Linked DNA regions of Macaca fascicularis. The protein of the gene in region 2 purifies or fractionates together with the protein of the main gene of each other region. This does not show direct contact. Links are inferred from orthologs where the notes say so. Each region holds a gene or a part of one and is shown on either strand. Other genes may lie near its edges.

The links.
Region 1: the proteins of tubulin alpha-1A chain (region 2) and TXNDC9 purify together in Homo sapiens (affinity purification with mass spectrometry; 3 studies listed by BioGRID and IntAct, counting the BioPlex papers as one, with this or other methods). This does not show direct contact. The link is inferred for Macaca fascicularis from reciprocal best matches to the Homo sapiens genes TUBA1A and TXNDC9.
Region 3: the proteins of tubulin alpha-1A chain (region 2) and DNAJA1 purify together in Homo sapiens (affinity purification with mass spectrometry; 3 studies listed by BioGRID and IntAct, with this or other methods). This does not show direct contact. The link is inferred for Macaca fascicularis from reciprocal best matches to the Homo sapiens genes TUBA1A and DNAJA1.

The regions. Positions count from the first base shown.
Region 1 is NC_088387.1:3,825,390-3,829,048, reverse strand, and holds part of TXNDC9 (thioredoxin domain-containing protein 9), read left to right. Parts: intron 1-86; 5' UTR 87-118; coding exon 119-307; intron 308-3,659. UniProt on the Homo sapiens protein: Significantly diminishes the chaperonin TCP1 complex ATPase activity, thus negatively impacts protein folding, including that of actin or tubulin.
Region 2 is NC_088385.1:55,999,680-56,001,855, reverse strand, and holds the end of tubulin alpha-1A chain, read left to right. Parts: coding exon 1-121; intron 122-438; coding exon 439-1,419; 3' UTR 1,420-1,630; downstream 1,631-2,176. UniProt on the Homo sapiens protein: Tubulin is the major constituent of microtubules, a cylinder consisting of laterally associated linear protofilaments composed of alpha- and beta-tubulin heterodimers.
Region 3 is NC_088389.1:66,046,002-66,049,660, reverse strand, and holds part of DNAJA1 (dnaJ homolog subfamily A member 1), read left to right. Parts: intron 1-2,805; coding exon 2,806-2,920; intron 2,921-3,659.

The DNA.
Region 1 (3,659 bases), on a different chromosome or scaffold from region 2:
TCCATCTCAAAAAAAAAAAGAAAATGGTAGAGAAAAGCTGGCTTATTGTTTGCATTTTTTAAAATATAGTTTGTAAATCTCCCCAGCACCCAGGCTGAACTTTGCACCATTCGGCAGAATGGAAGCTGATGCATCTGTTGACATGTTTTCCAAAGTCCTGGAGAATCAGCTGCTTCAGACAACCAAACTAGTGGAAGAACATTTGGATTCTGAAATTCAAAAACTGGATCAGATGGATGAGGATGAATTGGAACGCCTGAAAGAAAAGAGACTTGAGGCCCTAAGGAAAGCTCAACAGCAGAAACAAGTAACCTCTCTGCTCTGCTTTCTGAAATTGCTATAACAGTATGCGCCTAACAACTTATATATCCATGTGCCGTAGTAGTTACATTTCATTCTTTGTTTTTAGGGTTTTGGGAATTTAGAGTACCTATTACTGTTAAAATTTTGCCCAGAAAAAAATATATTTTAAAGACACATTCAAAATTAGCCCAATCTCTATGTGAATCCACAGTCGAGTAAAAGAAAGATCTGCCCAAGATCGTTTTTCTGAGCTTGGATTTGTGTGGTTGAATGGAGGGCAAGGGAGTCATTGGTTTTCATTTCAGGTAATGTTAAAGCCTATCAAAATTTAGCTATTTTCAAAGCAAACAAGATAAGACAGGTGAGATAATAGCTATTAAGTCAGTTTATGTTGAAAAAATTATTTCAGGCATTTCCAATGAAATATTTAATTAGTGGCATGTTCAAAAGAATGCATGCTTTGTAACAAAGAAAGGTGGTCACAGCTCTATCCTCGTTGCCCCTTAGAATGTTTGTGTAGAATAAACACAGAGTTGTAAACTCGGATTGAAACCAACGGATTAAATTCTGTAAATTGAATTTTTTTTCTTGTTTTTGAGCTAGAGTCTCGCTGTGACACCCCGGCTGGAGTGCAATGGTGTCATCTCGACTCACTGCAACTTCCGCTTCCCGGGTTCAAGCAATTCTCCTGCCTCAGTCACCCGAGTAGCTGGGACTACAGGTGCACATCACACACCCGGCTAATTTTTGTATTTTTAGTAGAGACGGGGTTTCACCATATTGGCCAGACTGCCCTGGAATTTCTGACCTCAAGTAATCCACCAACCTTAGCCTCCCAGGTTGGCGATGGAATTACAAGCGTGAGCCACCGCACCCGGCCAAATTCTGTAAATTGAATTTTGATTAAAACATTTTTCCATTGGGTTGCATGGAAATACATTATCACCAACTCTGGTTCCTTTTCAGTTGCCTGTGACTTAAACATGAGGCTTAACTTTTCTGAAGAAATAGAGAGTTTTGACTGGGCATGGTGGCTCACATCCGTAATCCCAACACTTTGGGAGGCCAAGGCGGGCAGGCAACCTGAGGTTGGGAGTTCAAGACCAGCCTGGCCAACATGGTGAAACCCTGTCTCTACTAAAAATACAAAAATTAGCCAGGTGTGGTGGCATGTGCCTGTAGTCCCAGCTACTCAGGAGGCTGAGACAAGAGAATCTCTTGGACTTGGGAGGTGGAGGTTGCAGTGAGTTGAGATTATGCTACTGCACTCCAGCCTGGACGATAAAGCAAGACCCAGTTCCCCCACAAAAAAAAAAAAAAAAAAAAAGAGAAGGAGTTTTGTTTGTATTGCTGTAGCATCACTTTATATGTTTACACCCTCATGTTTAGAAGAGTTGATATGTTTAGAAGAGTTACTACAAAAGGAAATCTTTTATGAATGAGTCCAAATTTTTACATTTTGAGTTTTCTAAAGTAGAGTATGTTATATGGCTTTTACATGTACCCTATTTTAGAAAATAGACTGCTTTTCTTTTTCTTTTTCTTTTTTATTTTTTGAGAGGGAGTCTCAGTCTATTGCCTATCCTGCCTTGACCTCCCAAGTAGCTGAGATTACAGGTGCCCACCACCATGCCCAGCTAATTTTTGTGTTTTAGTGGAGACAGGGTTTCACCATGCTGGTCAGGCTGGTCTCGAACTCTGACCTCAAGTGATCCGCCTGCCTCGGCCTCCCAAAGTGCTGGGATTACAGGCATGAGCCACCCCACACCAGGCCCAATTGGCTCCTTTTCATAGTATAGGGCTGATAATTAGTGTGCAGAGGACAGATTATTGGAATTTAAGGTAATATATGTTTAGGTTCTACCACAAACTCGTATTTCATGGTCACATTTAAGTACTAATTGCTAATGTGCAACTACAAATAATTATTTGTAACTAGGATATTTTTGCAGAGAGACTGAATTCACCGGATTCGCAGTGATGAACATACATTAAATCATGTCTTACAGGAACTTTTTTGGCAGTTCAAAACGGTGGTCTGAGTATTTATAATTAAAACCAACTAAGGCAAACCGGCTATAGGCCTTTTTTTATTAATGTATAAATCAATGTAAAATGAATTTGTCATCGAGTAATTCAGAAGGTCTTATTTTAGAACTTTCATTGCATTTCAGTAGATCTTTTTTATTAAAATGCTTTCTGGAAATAGGCAAGAAACCTAGTGATTTGTGTAGATATTCTTTTTATAAGAGATGATACAGTAATTAGATGATACAGTAATTTTGATTTTCTGATCTTTGAGGGTATTGGGGAGATCAGCACTTAATAGGCCTAGGCGAATCTATATTCTCCTGTCAGCCAAGCACCCTCCTACTGTTAACTAGAGCTGGCGCACTTAGGTAGGGACCAGAACAGAGGGATAAGGTGAGAAATAGGAGTTAAGCAGAGGCTTGGGTGGCAGCCACTGAGAGAGCTGTAACCCCAGCACTTTTGGAGGGCAAGGTGGGAGGATTGCTTAAACCTAGGAGTTTGAGATCAGCCTGGCAATATAGTAAAACACCGTCTCTACCAAAAAAAAAAAAAAAAAAAATTAACCAGGCATGGTGTGGCGTGTGCCAGTGGTCCCAACTCCTTGGGAGACTGACGTAGATGGATCTCTTGATCCCAGGAGGTTGAGGCTGCAGTGAGCTATGACCATGCCACCGCCGCACTTCATCCTGGGCAACTTTAGTGAGACCCATTCTCAAAAAACAAACAAACAAAAAACTTTTTGGCCAGGCATGGTGGATCACAATAAACCCAGCACTTTGGGAAGCTGAGGCAGGCGGATCACAAGGTCAAGAAATCGAGACCATCCTGGCCAACATGGTGAAACTCCGTCTCTACTAAAAATACAAAAATTAGCTGGGCATGGTGGCGCCTGCCTGTAGTCCCAGCTACTGGGGAGACAGAAGCAGAATTGCTTGAACCCGGGAGGTGGAGGTTGCAGTGAGCCGAGATTGCACCACGGCACTCCAGCCTGGCGATAGAGTGAAACTGTCTCAAAAAAAAAAAAAAAAAGGCATGATCTGTCCGTCTTGGCCTCCCTAAGTGCTGGGATTACAGGCTTGAGCCACCGCGCCTGGCCCACTTAAAATTATTATCAGCGTGACAGTAATTATTTCCCTCCAGTATTGTGATATAGCTACGATATTGGGAACAGGCAACAGCTGTTGAGAATCGTGTTCCTTCAGTCCCTACTTGAAGGAACTAAAAAAAAAAAAAAAAAAAGTGGTTTTTTTGTTTTTAAATTCATTACAAAATACGACAGTGATTTGGACACTTAAAATGTCAAGTGGTGCTGAAAGAGAGATTTC
Region 2 (2,176 bases):
GCTCTTCCACCCTGAGCAGCTCATCACAGGCAAGGAAGATGCTGCCAATAACTATGCCCGAGGGCACTACACCATTGGCAAGGAGATCATTGACCTTGTGTTGGACCGAATTCGTAAGCTGGTATGTTTCTTTTCAAGAATAAAGTAAATTAATGAGCCTAAAGAACACATTTGAAATACTGCTTTTTTTTTTTTTCAAACAGAATTGAACTGTTATTTTAATAAAGAGTGGAATGAGTCGTTCTTGTGGGGTTTTTATCAGTTAAAATGAACTATTTGGTATCATTTTGTAAATGTTAATGAGAATTTTTTAAAAAGCATTTGTCAAAATAAGATCTAAATCCTGGGAGATGTATGAAAAGTGAAAATATATTTCCTATGATTGTACTACAAAGAACAAAAACTTAACCTTTCCTCTGTTTCTCTCTTTTGTAATAGGCTGACCAGTGCACCGGTCTTCAGGGCTTCTTGGTTTTCCACAGCTTTGGTGGGGGAACTGGTTCTGGGTTCACCTCCCTGCTCATGGAACGTCTCTCAGTTGATTATGGCAAGAAGTCCAAGCTGGAGTTCTCCATTTACCCAGCGCCCCAGGTTTCCACAGCTGTAGTTGAGCCCTACAACTCCATCCTCACCACCCACACCACCCTGGAGCACTCTGATTGTGCCTTCATGGTAGACAATGAGGCCATCTATGACATCTGTCGTAGAAACCTTGATATTGAGCGTCCAACCTATACTAACCTGAATAGGTTAATAGGTCAAATTGTGTCCTCCATCACTGCTTCCCTGAGATTTGATGGAGCCCTGAATGTTGACCTGACAGAATTCCAGACCAACCTGGTGCCCTACCCCCGCATCCACTTCCCTCTGGCCACATACGCCCCTGTCATCTCTGCTGAGAAAGCCTACCATGAACAGCTTTCTGTAGCAGAGATCACCAATGCTTGCTTTGAGCCAGCCAACCAGATGGTGAAATGTGACCCTCGCCATGGTAAATACATGGCTTGCTGCCTGTTGTACCGTGGTGATGTGGTTCCCAAAGATGTCAATGCTGCCATTGCCACCATCAAGACCAAGCGTACCATCCAGTTTGTGGATTGGTGCCCCACTGGCTTCAAGGTTGGCATCAACTACCAGCCTCCCACTGTGGTGCCTGGTGGAGACCTGGCCAAGGTTCAGAGAGCTGTGTGCATGCTGAGCAACACCACAGCCATTGCTGAGGCCTGGGCTCGCCTGGACCACAAGTTTGACCTGATGTATGCCAAGCGTGCCTTTGTTCACTGGTATGTGGGTGAGGGGATGGAGGAAGGCGAGTTTTCAGAGGCCCGTGAAGACATGGCTGCCCTTGAGAAGGATTATGAGGAGGTTGGTGTGGATTCTGTTGAAGGAGAGGGTGAGGAAGAAGGAGAGGAATACTAAAGTTAAAATGTCACAAAGGTGCTGCTTTTACAGGGAAGCTTATTCTGTTTTAAACGTTGAAAAGTTGTGGTCTGCTCAGTTAATTTGTATGTAGCAGTGTATGCTCTTATATACAATTACTGACCTATGCTCTAAAACATGAATGCTTTGTTACAGACCCAAGCTGTCCATTTCTGTGATGGGTTTTGAATAAAGTATTCCCTGTCTTAAATGAATTCAGTCCTGTGTTTTCTATCTGGGTGTCTGAAATTTTATTTAGTGCATTGAGAATAAAGAATAAGTGTTGCCTGTGGTTTATACATATCCTATGACGTGACGTTTGTGTTTTAAAGTATCTTAGGAATTTAAAACTTTTATTTGTGAAACATAAAATGTATATCTAAAGATTACCATCACAGAGCATCACGTACTTTTTTTCTTTTTTTTTTTTTTGTGAGATGGAGTCTTGCTCTGTTGCCCAGGCTGGAGTGCAGTGGTGTGATCTGGGCTCACTGCAACCTCCATCTCCTGGGTTCAAGAGCTTCTCCTGCCTCAGCCTCCCAAGTAGCTGGGATTATAGGCATCCACCACCAATCTAATTTTTGTATTTTTAGTGGAGACTGGGTTTCACCATGATGGTCAGGCTGGTCTCAAACTCCTGACTTCCAGTGATCCGCTCGCCTCGGCCTCCCAAAGTGCTGGGATTACAGGTGTGAACCACTGTTCCCGGCTCATACTATTCTTAAGTTTTTACCTCATTATTATAATAAAGTTATTT
Region 3 (3,659 bases), on a different chromosome or scaffold from region 2:
TCCCCTCCCAGGTTCAAGCGATTCTCCTACCTCAACCTCCCAGGTAGCTGGGACTACAGGTGTGTGCCACCATACCTGACCTGGACTTGTTTAAATAAACGTATTGGCCCACTTAATTGGCTTACTTGCCCATCTGTTGTATTTAAATGCTCCGTTAATTGATTTGAAAGAATTTAGACTACTTTTCCTTTTTTTTAGACTTGACACTTCTCTACCTGTTGGGCTCCAGATTTAGAAATAAATATATAACCTTTTTTTTTTTTTTTTTTTTTTTTTTGAGACAGAGTCTCGCTCTGTCGCCCGGGCTGGAGTGCAGTGGCCGGATCTCAGCTCACTGCAAGCTCCGCCTCCCGGGTTCACGCCATTCTCCTGCCTCAGCCTCCCGAGTAGCTGGGACTACAGGCGCCCACCACCGCGCCCGGCTAATTTTTTGTATTTTTTAGTAGAGACGGGGTTTCACCGTGTTAACCAGGATGGTCTCGATCTCCTGACCTCGTGATCCGCCCGTCTCGGCCTCCCAAAGTGCTGGGATTACAGGCTTGAGCCACCGCGCCCAGCCAATATATAACCTTTTTTTGGGGGGGTGGGGGGGATTTGATTTGTCAGTTTTTAAATTTTACTCTTGTCAACTTACAAAAACCTTTTAAAATGTATTACGGCAGTACATTGCAGAAATTTTAAGAAATGTATGTAACCCCAGAAGGAAACTTAAATCAACATTATGGTAATCTGTTTTCAGATTTTGCTGTTTTTAAATGGGTCTGCTATTATACTGTACTATGGTATGATACCAATCTGGAACTGTTAATATACAAATCTACATTAACATAAGTGGCTGCAATAGGATTCTATCATGTGACTCATTATACTGGCCTCTCTGACCCCCAGGGTTTTCCACCCAAGAATGTAGTACATTGAAAGGTAAAAATAAGTTTTCTTGGCCAGCTGTTGAACTTAATGTGTTTCCCGCTTAGTGGGCCCATGCCTGGGGTTTATACTTTGAGGTGTTCTTGATACCAGTAGCTTATAGAGTAAGTCTTAACGTTGTTGATAGGTTCTTGGAAACTGAGACTTCTAGCAGAATGACCTCGAATAATGTCATGCAGGTCCTCAAATAATGTCATGTCACTGTAACACAGCCGAGGGGGAAAGAACCTATCAACAGTGAACTCTAAGTGAGAACTTGAAATTAATGCCCTCAGCAAGTGAAGGCATTAGTGCTATGCCTACCCTTGCTCTTCATTCAGGAAAACCTAGCTGAGTTTGCTTCCCTAGCTAGCATAACAAGTTATTTTGCCTCAATACACGATTAAAGACAGATTGTTTAATTTTGTCAGTGTATGATAATGATAGTGCTTTTAAGTCCTTATTTAAGAGGTACATACTGAAGTATTTGTGGGTTAATGGATGTGGTTGGAGTTTACTTGAAAGTATATGTGGGGGCCATGGGTAGGGGTATAATACATGAAATATTAGTCATGAGTTAGAAACTGCTGAAGCTAAATTGGATGGATATGTAGGAATTCATTGTATTGTTGGCTCTTTTTATACAGGATTAATATTTTCCATACTAAAAGGGGAAACACGATTGTTCTGTTAGGTAACCAGAGTGATCTTGGGAAATAATCAGGAGATAACTGCTTCAGTGTAACACTCTACAAACACAGGTTTTCTTACATGAGTTACGTTGTAAGAGTTGTTGTCCAAACCCTTACTGAACTAAAATATGTGGGTCAGAGGTGAGGGGTAGGGAAGTCTCAGTAAAAAAAAAAAAAAAAAAAAAAAAACATGTTTAAGAATTTTTTGCCCTGTTAGAAAATACTCCTCTCCCTGTGTTTTATGGACCACATGGGCTAAGGGAGGGTCTAGCGCTGATTGTTTTGTTTGCTTGTTTTAATTTAAATGACGCAAGGGCTGAACTCCTGCGCTCCAGGGTGCTGTCCTCAGGGTATCCTCCTGACTCTGCCTCCCAAAAGGTAGTTACCGTTTTTTTAAGGGGACTATACTGAATAGTTCTTAAAAAATATGGATTTTCAGGCACCGGCTCAGGTCTGTAATCGTAACACTATAGGAGGCTGAGACAGGAGGATCCCTTGAGCCCAGTAGTTCAAGACTAGCCTGAGCGACATGAGAACCCCTGTCTCTATTTAAAAAAAAAATTTTTTTAAAGCTGGTCCCCAGCTACTCGGGAGGCTGAGGTGGGAGGATCACTTGAGCCCAGGAGATGGAGGCTGCAGTGAGCCATGTTTGTGCCACTGCACTCCAGCCTAGACAACAGAACAGAGCAAGATCCTATCTCAAGAAAAGATAGATTTAAAATTTTTTGTTTTATATATAAATACTACAATAGAGAGAAGGGTTTTGATTTACATTGCTGTTAGACTTAATAGAAGTAATTTGATGTGTTGTAAGTAATGAAATTGAAATAGTTAATATTTTTTGGTTATAACCAGTGTTTGCCAGTCATGGTTTAGTACCAGCATATACCTGTTTAGTTAATACTCTCAACATTGCTAATGAGGTGTAGGTGTCTGTGGGAAAGTTGAAACTTGGAAAGGATATGCAGCTTCCCCAGGGTAATCCAGCCAGTGAATAGCAGCTCTGAGATTTGAAGGCTGGTCTCTTTGCCTCTAGAGTTTGTGTTCTCCACTGTGATATCTTTTTTCAGGAGCAAATTGGACTGAACTACTTAAGTGGGCTTTCTTAGTCATTTCTGTGATTTTTACACATAAACATTTATGTATACATTGTATGATTCTGACCTTAGTTGGATATTTAATAAGAGTATAAAACTAATGTTTTTAGGCATGAAAGATGGCCAGAAGATAACATTCCATGGTGAAGGAGACCAAGAACCAGGATTGGAGCCAGGCGATATTATCATTGTGTTAGATCAGAAGGACCATGCTGTTTTTACTCGGTAAAGACTTTTATCAGCCACTCAAACTGATGTCTTACATATTTGGGTTGTTGGTTTTGGTTTGTTTTTTTGTTTGTTTTTTTTAAAGTGTTTTCCATTACTTTTGAAACCTATTTCCTGGAAAAAGATTGTTAACCATTGTTTGGATCGTAAGAAGTTGAATACATAGGATCAGATTTTTAGCTTTTTGTCTCTAAGTATGGAACGTTGAAAATGTGTTTTAATTAGATGTTTTGTGTGAACCTAAATAGCAGATGGCTGGGGAAAACATCCCTGGAGAAAAATTTTGCCCTCCATCTTTGTAAAACAATTTAAGTGCCTTAAAACTCGCAGCAGTTTTCAATCCCAAGTTTATGATAAAGTTGAATTGCTTTTAATTGTAAATACCCAAAAGCATCTCTGTAGGAAACTTAAATTGGAACAATACTAAGTATAAATTCAGGTCTACCGTTTTGAACTAAATAATGAGTATGATGAACACTGAAGCACAAGAAAAATTGATGATTAACAGCACATGTTTATATCAAATATGTCCATGGCTAACATAACAGACTCTCTGTGCATGCTATATTCCCAGCAACTTGGGAGGCTGAGGTGGGAGGATCACTTGAGGCCAGGAGTCCTAGCTACTGGGGAGGCCGAGGCAGGAGAGTGGCTTGAACTCAGGAGTTCAAGGTTATGATCATGCCACTGCATTCTAGCCTGGGTGACAGTAAGAGCCCATCTTTCTTTTTTTTTA